Caenorhabditis elegans: one gene and its partners. The protein of the gene in region 2 purifies or fractionates together with the protein of the main gene of each other region. This does not show direct contact. Each region holds a gene or a part of one and is shown on either strand. Other genes may lie near its edges.

The links.
Region 1: the proteins of gtbp-1 (region 2) and Y54F10AR.1 fractionate together in Caenorhabditis elegans (co-fractionation; one large-scale study listed by BioGRID). This does not show direct contact.
Region 3: the proteins of gtbp-1 (region 2) and ppw-2 fractionate together in Caenorhabditis elegans (co-fractionation; one large-scale study listed by BioGRID). This does not show direct contact.

Annotation. Positions count from the first base shown.
Region 1 is NC_003281.10:2,573,945-2,577,698, forward strand, and holds the start of Y54F10AR.1 (Phosphatidylinositol transfer protein N-terminal domain-containing protein), read right to left. Parts: upstream 1,742-3,754; coding exon 1,725-1,741; intron 1,313-1,724; coding exon 1,118-1,312; intron 1,060-1,117; coding exon 742-1,059; intron 684-741; coding exon 563-683; intron 1-562.
Region 2 is NC_003282.8:10,126,778-10,130,531, forward strand, and holds the start of gtbp-1 (Ras GTPase-activating protein-binding protein gtbp-1), read right to left. Parts: upstream 2,180-3,754; 5' UTR 2,169-2,179; coding exon 2,066-2,168; intron 1,976-2,065; coding exon 1,851-1,975; intron 1,799-1,850; coding exon 1,736-1,798; intron 1,692-1,735; coding exon 1,163-1,691; intron 1,108-1,162; coding exon 865-1,107; intron 818-864; coding exon 459-817; 3' UTR 1-458. Other genes in the region: K08F4.3 (Translocon-associated protein subunit beta), read left to right, coding at 2,617-2,670, 2,723-2,827, 2,922-3,156, 3,203-3,357; Putative sodium-dependent excitatory amino acid transporter glt-3, read left to right, coding at 3,619-3,713.
Region 3 is NC_003279.8:5,160,288-5,164,041, forward strand, and holds the start of ppw-2 (Piwi domain-containing protein), read right to left. Parts: upstream 1,946-3,754; 5' UTR 1,918-1,945; coding exon 1,729-1,917; intron 1,683-1,728; coding exon 1,492-1,682; intron 1,444-1,491; coding exon 1,275-1,443; intron 1,231-1,274; coding exon 825-1,230; intron 781-824; coding exon 57-780; intron 9-56; coding exon 1-8. Other genes in the region: let-630 (Small ribosomal subunit protein mS39), read right to left, coding at 2,411-2,743, 2,796-2,924, 2,973-3,754.

The DNA of each region.
Region 1 (3,754 bases), on a different chromosome or scaffold from region 2:
TTTGAGATTTTTTAAATAAATTTATTAATTTATCGGGTAAAAATCCACTTTTTTGAAAATTTCCACGAGCATTTATGCGAAATTTTTCCATTTTTTCAGCTCGGTTTTCAGTTTTTTTCCGGAATTGTTCGAAATTTTGCTCGAAAATTGAAGAATGGCTGTGTAAAACCTCTTCCACTTAAATTAGAGGTTTTCTAGGTTTTCCTTTTGACTTTTTGGCAATTTTCGCGGTTTTTTCACATTCAAATTGGCAGTTTGTTAGGTTTTTAGGTGAAAACTTTATTTATCAGATTTTATTTATTTAATTTTATTTACATTTATCAGATTTTAAGTGAAAATTGTTGATTTTCACCTAAGAACCCTATAAATTGTCAATTTGAGTATGAAAAAACCACGAAAATCGAAAATTTCAGTTTTAAACTTTGAAATTCTTCTCCTCGGGGAGTACACGATCTGCGTAAATCGACATAGGGTTATTCTACAAATTTCAAACAAAAAAAAGCTCGTTTTTTGAGCATTTTCGCCCATTTTGTCGATCCACGAAATCCTCTCGTAATCTCACCGTATGCGCGTAGTTTTCGACAATTTTCTGGAATCCAAACCACTTGAAATAGACTGTAACAAGCTTGTAGGCACACATTACAGGCTGTACACTATCCTTCCAATTTCCAGATAAAGGACCGCTGAAATTTCAGATTTTTTTAATTTAAAAACTGAAAAATCTCAAGGTTTTTCCCGTACCGCCCGGTTTTTGTGCTCTGAAATTTGGATGGAGTGGAGTCTGGATGCAAATCTCCGGAATTCAAATACTCGTGATCATTTGCAATATTAATATTGACAACTTCTCGTTTCGCCAGCTCATCGCCCTTCAAACCGTGCGCATTTTCGGTCGTTCCGTTGTCCGGCAAGTGGATTGTCTCAATTTTCACATAGAAATTCTCTTTCATATAGTCTGGATTCGTGACAACCGTCTTACAGTACGGATAGGCATTCCATGCTTCTTCGTGGATAGCCAGAGAACCTTTTGGCGCGATTTTTCGCAAAATTGCCGGGACTTTCCTGAAAAAATTGATTTTTTTTCCAATTTTTTTCGCAGAATTAAAGAAGAAAATCCTACGATTGAAGATGATAAATCTTATGAGTATATTGTCCTTTCGTGAATTGTCCATTGAGCAGTGGAACATTGTCAAATGGCTCATTTTTGAGCACTTCCACACCTTCACCGCCACCCGTTTCGGCTTTTGAGGCCTCGGCCACAGACCAGAGCTGGCCTACTTGGTACTCTTCGACGGACATTGGAAGCACAACTCGGCTGAAAAAAAATTTTTTTTTTTGAAAATCTGGAAAAAATCCAATTTTTTTGGGAAAATCTGGAAAAATACGATTTTTTTTTTGAAAAAATCTGGAAAAAATCCGATTGTTTTGGGAAAAGAATGGAAAAAATCTGGAACAAATCCGATTTTAATGGAAAAATCTGGAACAAATCCGATTTTAATGGAAAAATCTGGAACAAATCCGATTTTAATGGAAAAATCTGGAAAAATACGATTTTTTTGAAAAAATCTGGAAAAAATCCGATTCTTCCGGGAAAAATCTTGAAAAAATCCGATTTTTTTGGGAAAAGAATGGAGAAATCCGATTTTTTTTTGTTGGAAAATCTGGAAAAAAACCGATTTTTTCCAGGAAAAATCAAAATTTTCGTTAAAAATAAAAAAATCACTTACTACTCCTTGATAATCATTCTTGCGAGTGTCGAATGAGGAGGAAACCACCTGAAAACTAAATTTTTTATGCTAGTTGCCATGGAAACAGCTTTACGGAAGATTAATGGGTGGAGAGCATGCGAAAATCGATTTTATTTTTGCATTTTGGAAGGTATTCGAGAAAAAGAAGAAAATTATTGCGAAATTTCGTAATTTGAAGGAAATTCACAAAGATTTTAACGATTTTTAGCGGGAAATTGAAAATTTTTGGATTTAAAAATAAAAAATTGATCGAAAAGTTAAAGGCGCACGGAGTTCCAATTGCCGATGGGTCTCGCAGCGAACTACAAAAGTTTGATAAATTTTTGAATTTTTTAAAGTTTTTTAGTAAAATTAAGTTGATTTTACCAATATTTAATATATTTTCTAACGTTTTTAAATAGAAAATGACAATATTAAATCGGAATTGGAAATTTTAACGGCGTCTCTCATGAAAAATACAAAATTCTCCCAAACAATGCGAAATCGTAGAATTATTAGTCATCATGAATAGAGAGAGAGAGAGAGGTGTTGCGAAATTTTTCTCATTTTGAAATTTCTTGAGGGAAAAATGGAAAAATCACTCAATTTTCCGTGGGAAAAGCGAAAAAAACGAATTTGAGAAGGGCAGTAATCGAAGGCGCATATAGTTTGAAGAGACTCGGGTCTCGCAGCGATCTACAGAAATTGTAATTAATTTTCAAGTTTTTAAACTTTTAAACAAATTTAAGCTATTTCTAGGTGGTTTTAAATGAAATTCTAACGATTTAATATTGAAAACTTGATTTCGAAGTGAAAATTAAGATTATTTTTAATTTCCGATTGGAATTCCGAGAGAAAAGCGAGCATAATACACGAAAAATCTTGAAATGGTTTTTAAAGGTGCATGGTCTTTGAATTGGCTCGGGTCTCGCGACGATCTACAAAAGTGTGATGAATATTTAATTTTATTGAATTTAAAATGAGTTTTCAGAAGGTTTTAACGATTTTCCGACCAATTTTCAGTGCAAAAACTGCAAAAAATGACGTGTTAAGGTCCATACACCCGCAAAAAACATAAAAACAAAGCGGAAAAAAGAAAAAAAAAAGACAGACGAAATAGATGAAGCAATAAGCGCAGCAACGAGGAGAAAATCGAATGCTTTCTGTGTTTCTGTCTCACTTGCCGACTCACTAGGCACGCGAAATGCGCAAGCATTCCTCTCGGTGACTTCGTATACTCTCTTCTCGATTAACAGCAGGGTTCGAGCCTTTCTTGGAAGAAAAAGAGGAAGAAATATTCGTTTTTTTTTCCTTTCTTTTAACGTTTTTGGAAGAAGGAAGACGGAAAAAAGATGGAAAATAGTATTAAAAATGGCCTTCCCCAAAAAAAAGAGGGCGGCGCGGCGAAAAATCGATAACACCCGGGACGGGGGGAAAACGGAGGAGAAAAAAGAGCTGGAGCAGAAACTAAATATGTCATGTTTGTGGAGTAGCGTGTGCGCTGTCAAGTTGAGAGAGAGAGGCTATATAAAGTAAAAAGTAACGACTATGGAGAGGAGCGAAATGGGTTGGAAAAACAAGTGACGGATGACATTTTCAATGGAAAATCTGAAAAAGTGTGAAGCTGGCGCGAGAATCACCATGGAAATGAGCGACAAGTTTGGGGCAGATACACATAAATCAAATTTCGACTTGCGGAAACAATATGAAATCGATTTTTTTGACTTTCCCCTATTAAATAATTAAAATTCAAAAAAAAATCGAAAAAAGCTGGGTTCAAGTGGTGCCAGGCTGTCCCATTACGGTTTGATCTACAAAAAATGCGGGAATTTTTTGCCAAAAAAAATGTGACGTCATCACGTTGTTAACCATGCGAAATCAGTTGAGAACTCTGCGTCTCTTCTCCCGCATTTTTTGTAGATCTATGTAGATCATGCCGAAAGAAGGCACTTTGACACCACGTGAATCGGTAAAGAAATGGAAAAAAAAAATCAAAATGCAGGAATTGAGACGCAGAGTTCTCAACTGAT
Region 2 (3,754 bases):
CAACGTGCCAAAATGGGGGTAAGAACTTGAGTACAAAGAGTACTCCCGAACACCAATGAAGGAAACAATAACGGGGGCTTGTAAAAGGAGAAGGAAAGTGGTAATATATTAAAACAACATTCAAATACAACTTGGATATTCGGTGGTGGGATGATGTCTGATTGCAACTTGTACTCGAAAAGAGTAAACTCAGATGGGATCACGGTCGTCAATCACCGAAAACCGGGGAGATAGGATGTGAAAATGGGATGCGGGCTGATTGGATTGGATTGTTGAGAGATCTACTAAAACGCTACACGCCATAAAATTCAGATACCAGAATCTTCTTACTTAAATCATCATTATTAGAACGGTGAGGAAGGAAAGGAGAAACAATAAATAGGAAAATGAGAAGGATAGGTACAGAATCTAATGGATGTGCAATTCTTACAAGAAGGAAAAAGGAGAACGGAAAGCTTCTAATTTTGTCCCGCATTTTGGAAACCGCTGCGCATACCACCTCGTGGAGCACCACCCGAACCGCCACGGCGGAAGAATTGTCCACCGCGTGGTTGGAAACCTCCACGTCCTCCTCGGAATCCGCCGCCTTGTGGTTGATCACGTTGCTCACTAATTTGAGCATGTCCGTCAAATCCGAATGCATCCAGTTTGAGTGGAAGCTTCCACACGCCTTGCTCATCCTTTGTAGCCGCTTCGAAAATGGCTTTTACTCCGGCCTTGTTACGCATGGTAATAAATGCAAAGGCATGTTTCGATGTGTCGTTCGGACTGTCAAGAACCTTGCGCGGCATGCGAACCTCCTCGATTTCTCCATATTCTTAAAATGAAAATTTAGTGAACTATTGGGACTATTAATTTGCTTACTGTAGAACACCTGCTTGATTTCCGATTCAGCCTGAGCTGTGTTGCTGGGGACAATCTCTCGAGTGATTCCTCCCAAATAGATCTTACGCTCATTTAGGTTGGCATCTGAACTTTCCTGAGCTTGGCGCAATTCATTAGCTGGGTGCGACTGTCTCTGTTGCTGATAAAGAGGAGCATGCGATCCTTGTTGTTGCTGATGCATGGAAGGCTGCATGTGGTGCATTTGTGTTTGCTGATGGATTTCTGAAAAATAAATAATCTGAGACTAGCCCGATCATCTTTCGTTTTTTCAACTCACGCTGTCCTTGTCCATAACTTTGTTGTTGTGGGGGCTGAGACTTTCCACCTCCACCCACAAGATTAGCCCACGTTTTCTGAACCTTTGGCTGTTCTTGAACAGGCTCAGGAACTGGGGCTCTCTGCTGTGGGGGCTGTTGGGCAAGCTGTGGTTTCTGCGGTGTTTTCGCTACCTCCTTTTCCACAGATTTCGGAGTGTCTTGCTTCACTATACGATCTTCAGCTTTCTTTGGCGTTTGCTGCTTTGGAGGAGCCGGCTTTGATTGTTCCTTAGGTTGCTCGGTTTTGGAAGATTTGGAATCCTTTCCATTTGCTCCACTGGCGTGTCCGTTATGACCAGTCGACGAAGTAGTCTTCTCCTTTTCCGTATTCGCGACGAAAAACTTATCAATGTACTGAAAAGCGTCTGATTCGACATAGTATTTTTTCTGCCCTTGTTGCCCAAGCAAAAATGATTGAAGGAATGGACGGAGGTTAACGGTTCCGATAACATTGATAATCACTCCCTGTTTGTGTGGGGTTGGGTATCCCTTAAAAATATATTTGTAGGAAAATCGAAGAACGTCGTGTTTACCTTGATAGATTGAATCTTGAAGTGGGTGGTTTCTGGTAGATGATTGTACAACTTAACAATCTCCTAAAAATATATTAACGAAATGTATTTTTGTCAATTTATATTTGTTGCCAACCTGCGATCCAGTGACCACCTGATCATCCAAATAGAACTTCGATTCATGTCCATAGAACTTGGTAATCGCTTTACGGTTCTCAGAGACGGTGATATAGAACTGATGGCAGAACGCTCCACCGACTTCTGAAATAAAATCAATTTAATGCAATATTCGGGATTGAAAGAATTGAAAGAAAAGGTGTGTAAGCACTTATTAAGTGCGACATGACTCACGTTCAGCGGCTGTCAATGAGAGTGGCTCGACCGGAGCGGTGGAAGTCAAATTACCATTGATCGGATCCATCTTATTCTGGGTTAAGGCCGAGGTTATCTGCATTTAATAATTACCTGAAAATGTTTATTTTTGTTTATAATTTTAAAAACGGTTTATGTAAAAGATGACGAAAAAATAATTTAACCGCTGCTTGCTTCATGATATCAAGTTTAACTATTTTGGAGGAAACTAGTTGTAAAACGGATAAATTGAACCGGAAAACTGAAAACGAACGTAAATCCGAACGCGCGAAATTCGAAAGAGGCGTTTTTTGGCAACGGGCCAGTTTGATTCGCAGGCACGCTCGTTTGAATTTAGTGATGGGTCTCGGCACGATTGCCATTTTGCGAGGCAGTTCAAATACACTTTTCTCTGCATCCTCCGTTTGTAGTACAGTCTTTTGTTTCTTCTCGGTTTTCCACGTATTTCCAGCTTAATTTGCCAACAAGGCGTTTATTGAGAGAACTTCCTACAGATTTATCAAATCATTATTGTCAGTGAAGCGCCTAGCATGCAACTGGTTTTCCTGATTCTCTCTGCTCTTGCAGCTGCTGATGCTTCTGCGGTAACTTTATCAAATAAAATTTATAAATCTGGCTAAAATCGTATAATTACAGAAAATTCTTATCGGCAAATCCTTCGTGACCAAGTATCCGGTTGCACAAAGAGAAAACGCATTTGAATATCAGATTATCAACATTGGCCTTTCTCCAGCTCTCAAGGTATGTTTCAAAAAGTCGCAAAGATTTTCTTTAAAAATTAGTTTCTTTCTTTCGGATAACGCGAATTTTGGTTAGAAATTGTCGATTATTTCAGGTCGAGCTGTCTGATCTCAAATCTTTCCCAACTGACCGATTCGAGATTTTGAAAGGATCTGCAACAGCAAGTTTTCCCGTCATTCCTGCGAATTCCACCATCTACCATCACATTGTTGTCATTCCTCGTGTTCCTCAAGCCATCGAAGATCACGATGTTACCGTGAACTATACTGATTCCGAGACTGGCAAACGTGCGCGAACCTCTACAGTCTCGTATGATAAGAGAGGATACAGTATGTTTTGAAAACAACGGAACTAATTCAAAATTTTAAACTTAAGCTCATTTCTTCGCCGAAACTGCCATGAGAAAAGTGGAAGGAGTCAATTGCACACACTTCCTCGGATTCGGAGCCATCGCTTTTCCATTGACTGCAATCCCAGCAATTCTCTACTGGATCTCCAAACGTCGTTATTCAAACAAAAAACAGGATTAGCTTTCGAATCGTTGTTTAATTTTACTGGTTATCAATCTATGGGTACACATATAAGTCAGCTTTAAATTGTATTTATTAGCACCCGGTTGAAGAATAAAATATTGTAGTTTTTCGACAATTTTATTTTCCACATTTCAATGTCAACTGCGTCAGCCGAATGCAAATTTCAGACGGCACTAGAATAGTTTGCATAATCCCTCTCTTCTCGTTAGTTGAACGAAGCGAGTCGGCAGTCGAGTTGTCAAGAACAACACAGACAAGATGGGCATGAAGAAGGATCTTCTTCTTGTGCTTACCATCGAATCTGTCGTGCTCGGTGTTGTCTTGGGCTTCGTTATTCGACCTTTCAATCCCAGGTGAGAAGATCTTTAAAATCTTTCGGGTCTAAATTGTAAAT
Region 3 (3,754 bases), on a different chromosome or scaffold from region 2:
AAAAACGTCTGAAAAATCAGAAAAAACCAATCAATTTTAAGTAGAGTAAGACTAACCTCATAACGTCGCGATTCATTTGTGATCCCGGCGACCCCACGCCGTACAACGCCCATACTTTCGGAGCCACAGCTGAACGGTTGTAGCGTTGTGGGCGCCATTTGCAATCTCTTGGATTGATGAGATGTTCACCCGTTTCAAATGAAGCCAACCTAATGGCCGGGAGGTTTCGCCCTTTCACCACAAGAGGCTCATCGCAAACAGTCACTCCCATTTTACCGAGCACCTCGTTTTCAGCTGTGATCTTCGCTGCAATCTTTCCCGTCATGATCAAACGTTGGCGAATGTCTGGCAACACTGCACTTTCTTTTGTGGTTCGTTGACTTTGAGAACTTGTTTGCTGAGTGATTCTAACACGTTGATTTGGACTGATAGTAATCAACTCCATGGGATAGAAGTTGAGAGCTCCTCTTTCCTTACAAACGATGAGATTGGCGTTCGGATAGCGAAGTTGAATCTTATATTTATCCTTGAAGTAGGTGGCAACGGTACAAGTACCACCACCTTCGAGCTCGAATCTGGCAGTTGCGGCTCCTTCGTGATGAATGCTTTCAATTTTGTGATGACGTGTGCGTCCTCTATAGTTTGAATGACAGTCAAGTCCTTTGATGACAGCTGCACATCGTTCTCTTTCGGATCCAGTGATTCCGTTAGCCAGATTGGATGTGATCGATGACAATTTTTGGAAAACGAGTTGCTCCATATGGAATGCCACCTTCATTCCTGAAGATTGAAATATACTTGTCTATTTTGAGCTAAAAACTAACCGTCAATGACAATCGATGGGTTATTCTGGTTACGTCCGTATGGACCCTCAATGAATTGGAGGGTTTTCTTGAGACCCGGTTTCATTTGTTTCCCATCTCCAACTTCCACAATGTCGCATGGAGCGTACCCTTCTTGCAATGGATTAATGAAAAACATCTTTCCGTGCTCGAACACTACACATTTGGAGGTTTCGCGAATTGCGTACTGACTCATAGCGAGATCGAGAATCTGCTTATAAGCCATATTGACAGACTCGATGTTAGAATCCGATGTACGTCTTCCAATATCTTCCAGGGAGAAATTCACGACTGGGTTCTTGGTAGGAAAAACTTCCAGTTTGATACACGGCAGCACCATTAGGTCTTTCAAGTTGGTGTCCGCACCGTTAATTTGAAACACTTTTGTCTGAAATTAGGAATGCATCGAAAGTACAAATAAAATCTCGATACCTTAATTTTTCCAGTTGGAATTCCTTCAAAAAGATTCATGCTGGTGAAGAGAATGCTCTGTCCATCGTAGATGATGCAGTTCTCAGACGACTTGAAAAAGTCCTCAAAGCGGTTCAATGCGTGGAACAGAATAGCACTGCACTTCTCATGGCGGTCATGAACAATGAAGCTGAAATTGAATGCATAGGAAATTTGAATTCGATCATCAATATCTTACTCTTCTTTTCCTTTTTTAGTGAAAGTTACTTCTTTCTTCGATGAAAGTTCAGCAGTGATGTGCACACTGTATTGATAAAAGTTGGAAGTTTTATGTACTTCGACTCCAAACACATTTGTCAGGACTTCAGTCACGCTACCGAAAGTTCCAGGTTCGGTTGGAGAAGGATAGATCTTCGGATCCGGCGGAATCTAAAATATCATATTTATTCTAAGCAATAACGAGAACCGATCTCACCTCAAGCTGTTCGAGTCGCTTAATACACGCATCGTGAGCAGTTTTGTGTTCCGAGGTGACAGGAAGAGTCGGAACCGGAACCGGTGGGACTGGTGGTGGTGGATGAAGTCCTGGCGGAGCGGTGACCGGTGGAAAACCAACTGGTGGCACTGGTGGCATTGTTACCGGTGGAACCGGTGTAGCAGGCATTGTGAATGTTGTTAGTGAATACTACCTGAAATCGGAGAACGATTGCATTATGAACAATATCTTAAAATTTACGAATAACGTGTTGGAAAAAAATTGAATAAGTTTATGCAACTTTTCGGGATACATGCATTCTCTAAATCTTATAACTTATAACTTGAAAAAAGAACTATTGAAACACGTTTTTGTTAGATACTTGAAAAATATGAAGATTTCAACAAGAAATACTGAAAAATCGTGCACGGAAATGAATATTTTGGGACAGTAGGTAACATTTTTTGAAGTAGTGCGAATAGCTACCGTATACCTTAGACAGCGTTGCGAGACCCACTCAGATGAAAACTCGATGCGCCTTTAATTTCAAATTGAACGACCTTTGAAAAAAAAACATGTTGAACAAATTTTTAAATAAGTTTTATTATGGGAGACATTTTGAAAGCAAAACAAAACAAAAACAAAATAACTTTACAACTATCCTAGGCTAAACGAAATAAAATTATTGTGGGCGAAGACGAATGAATCCTTGAATAATTCGAACTTGCTCTTGATTCACATTACATTTCTCGAAAATGCGATTGGCGAGAGGCTCAAGTTTTGCACGGTTGGCGGTCAACGACATAATTTGCAGGCAAGTCGCTGCAGCATATGTATCACGTTTTCTAAGAGCATCTTCGAACAATTCTGCCATTGCCCATGGCCTAGCATGTCCACGTGGATAAACAGTCGCTTCGTCCCCACTGCTTGCAGTTTCATCAAGCAGTAGATCTAACAGTTCGTAAGCTTTCTGCTGTTCTCCGATTCTGGTCAAGAGCAAAGCACATTCTGAGATCTGCAAAATTTGAGAAATATACGACTTATGGTTTGAAAAATAATATTAAAACCTGGCTAGGCGACAGTTTCCTTTGGAGCCTTCTCATTCTCTCTTCTGTGAATTGGCTGAACTCAACCCAAACTGCAACCAATTTTTGGACAAGAGATGTGAATTGCTCCCGTTCACTAGTTCCCAATGTCTGAAAAAAACTTGTAAAAAACACAAGATATTTGGAAATAAAACTTACATGTAGTTGTACATTACACAACTGTTTGCGCATTTCTTCTCCAATAACTCCATTCATCTGTCCAGCTGCAATACCGTCGATGATTACTCTCCGTAACAGTGGCCAATGACGATCGGAGGATGCAGCGAGTTTTCGAAAAACTAGTGATGACAGATAATTGTTGACTCCAACAAGTCGTGGTACCATGGTGGTGTACAAATCATAAATTCTGTTCAGTGAAGCACTTTGTTCCACAGCCAATTGTAATTGTCTATTATAGAACATTGATTCAATTGTGAATGCTGGCATCTTTACTTCGTTTGCTTTGGATTCATAAATTGAAACAAGATTTTCTGCGAGGTTCTCATTTGCAGCTCTGTAATGGATTCCCATTGCTTCGACGAAGAAAAGATTACAAGTGGATGTAATCGGCTTGAGAGTTTTTCCAGTAAGGCTATTCTGAATTTCATTGAGCCAAGATATAGCCACGGTGAGCTGGTGATTATAGGTCTTCTTTTGCTCGTCACTCTCTCGTTTTTCATTATCCAATAATTTAAAATCTATGATGTTTTTGATAATTAAATGAAAAGATGACAGTGCTGGTTCAACTCCAATCTCTTTCATTTCTCCAATAATTTCAGTGAACGCCTTCACACGATCTTCAAACTTTCCAGCTTTTGCAGCAGACGACAGTAATGCATTGAACGTGAAAATATCGGGTGTCATTCTGAGGGAAATCATTTCAGCTACCAATTTCTTCCCGACACTGTAGCTTGAAGCGCCAATTAATCCATTGAACGCTT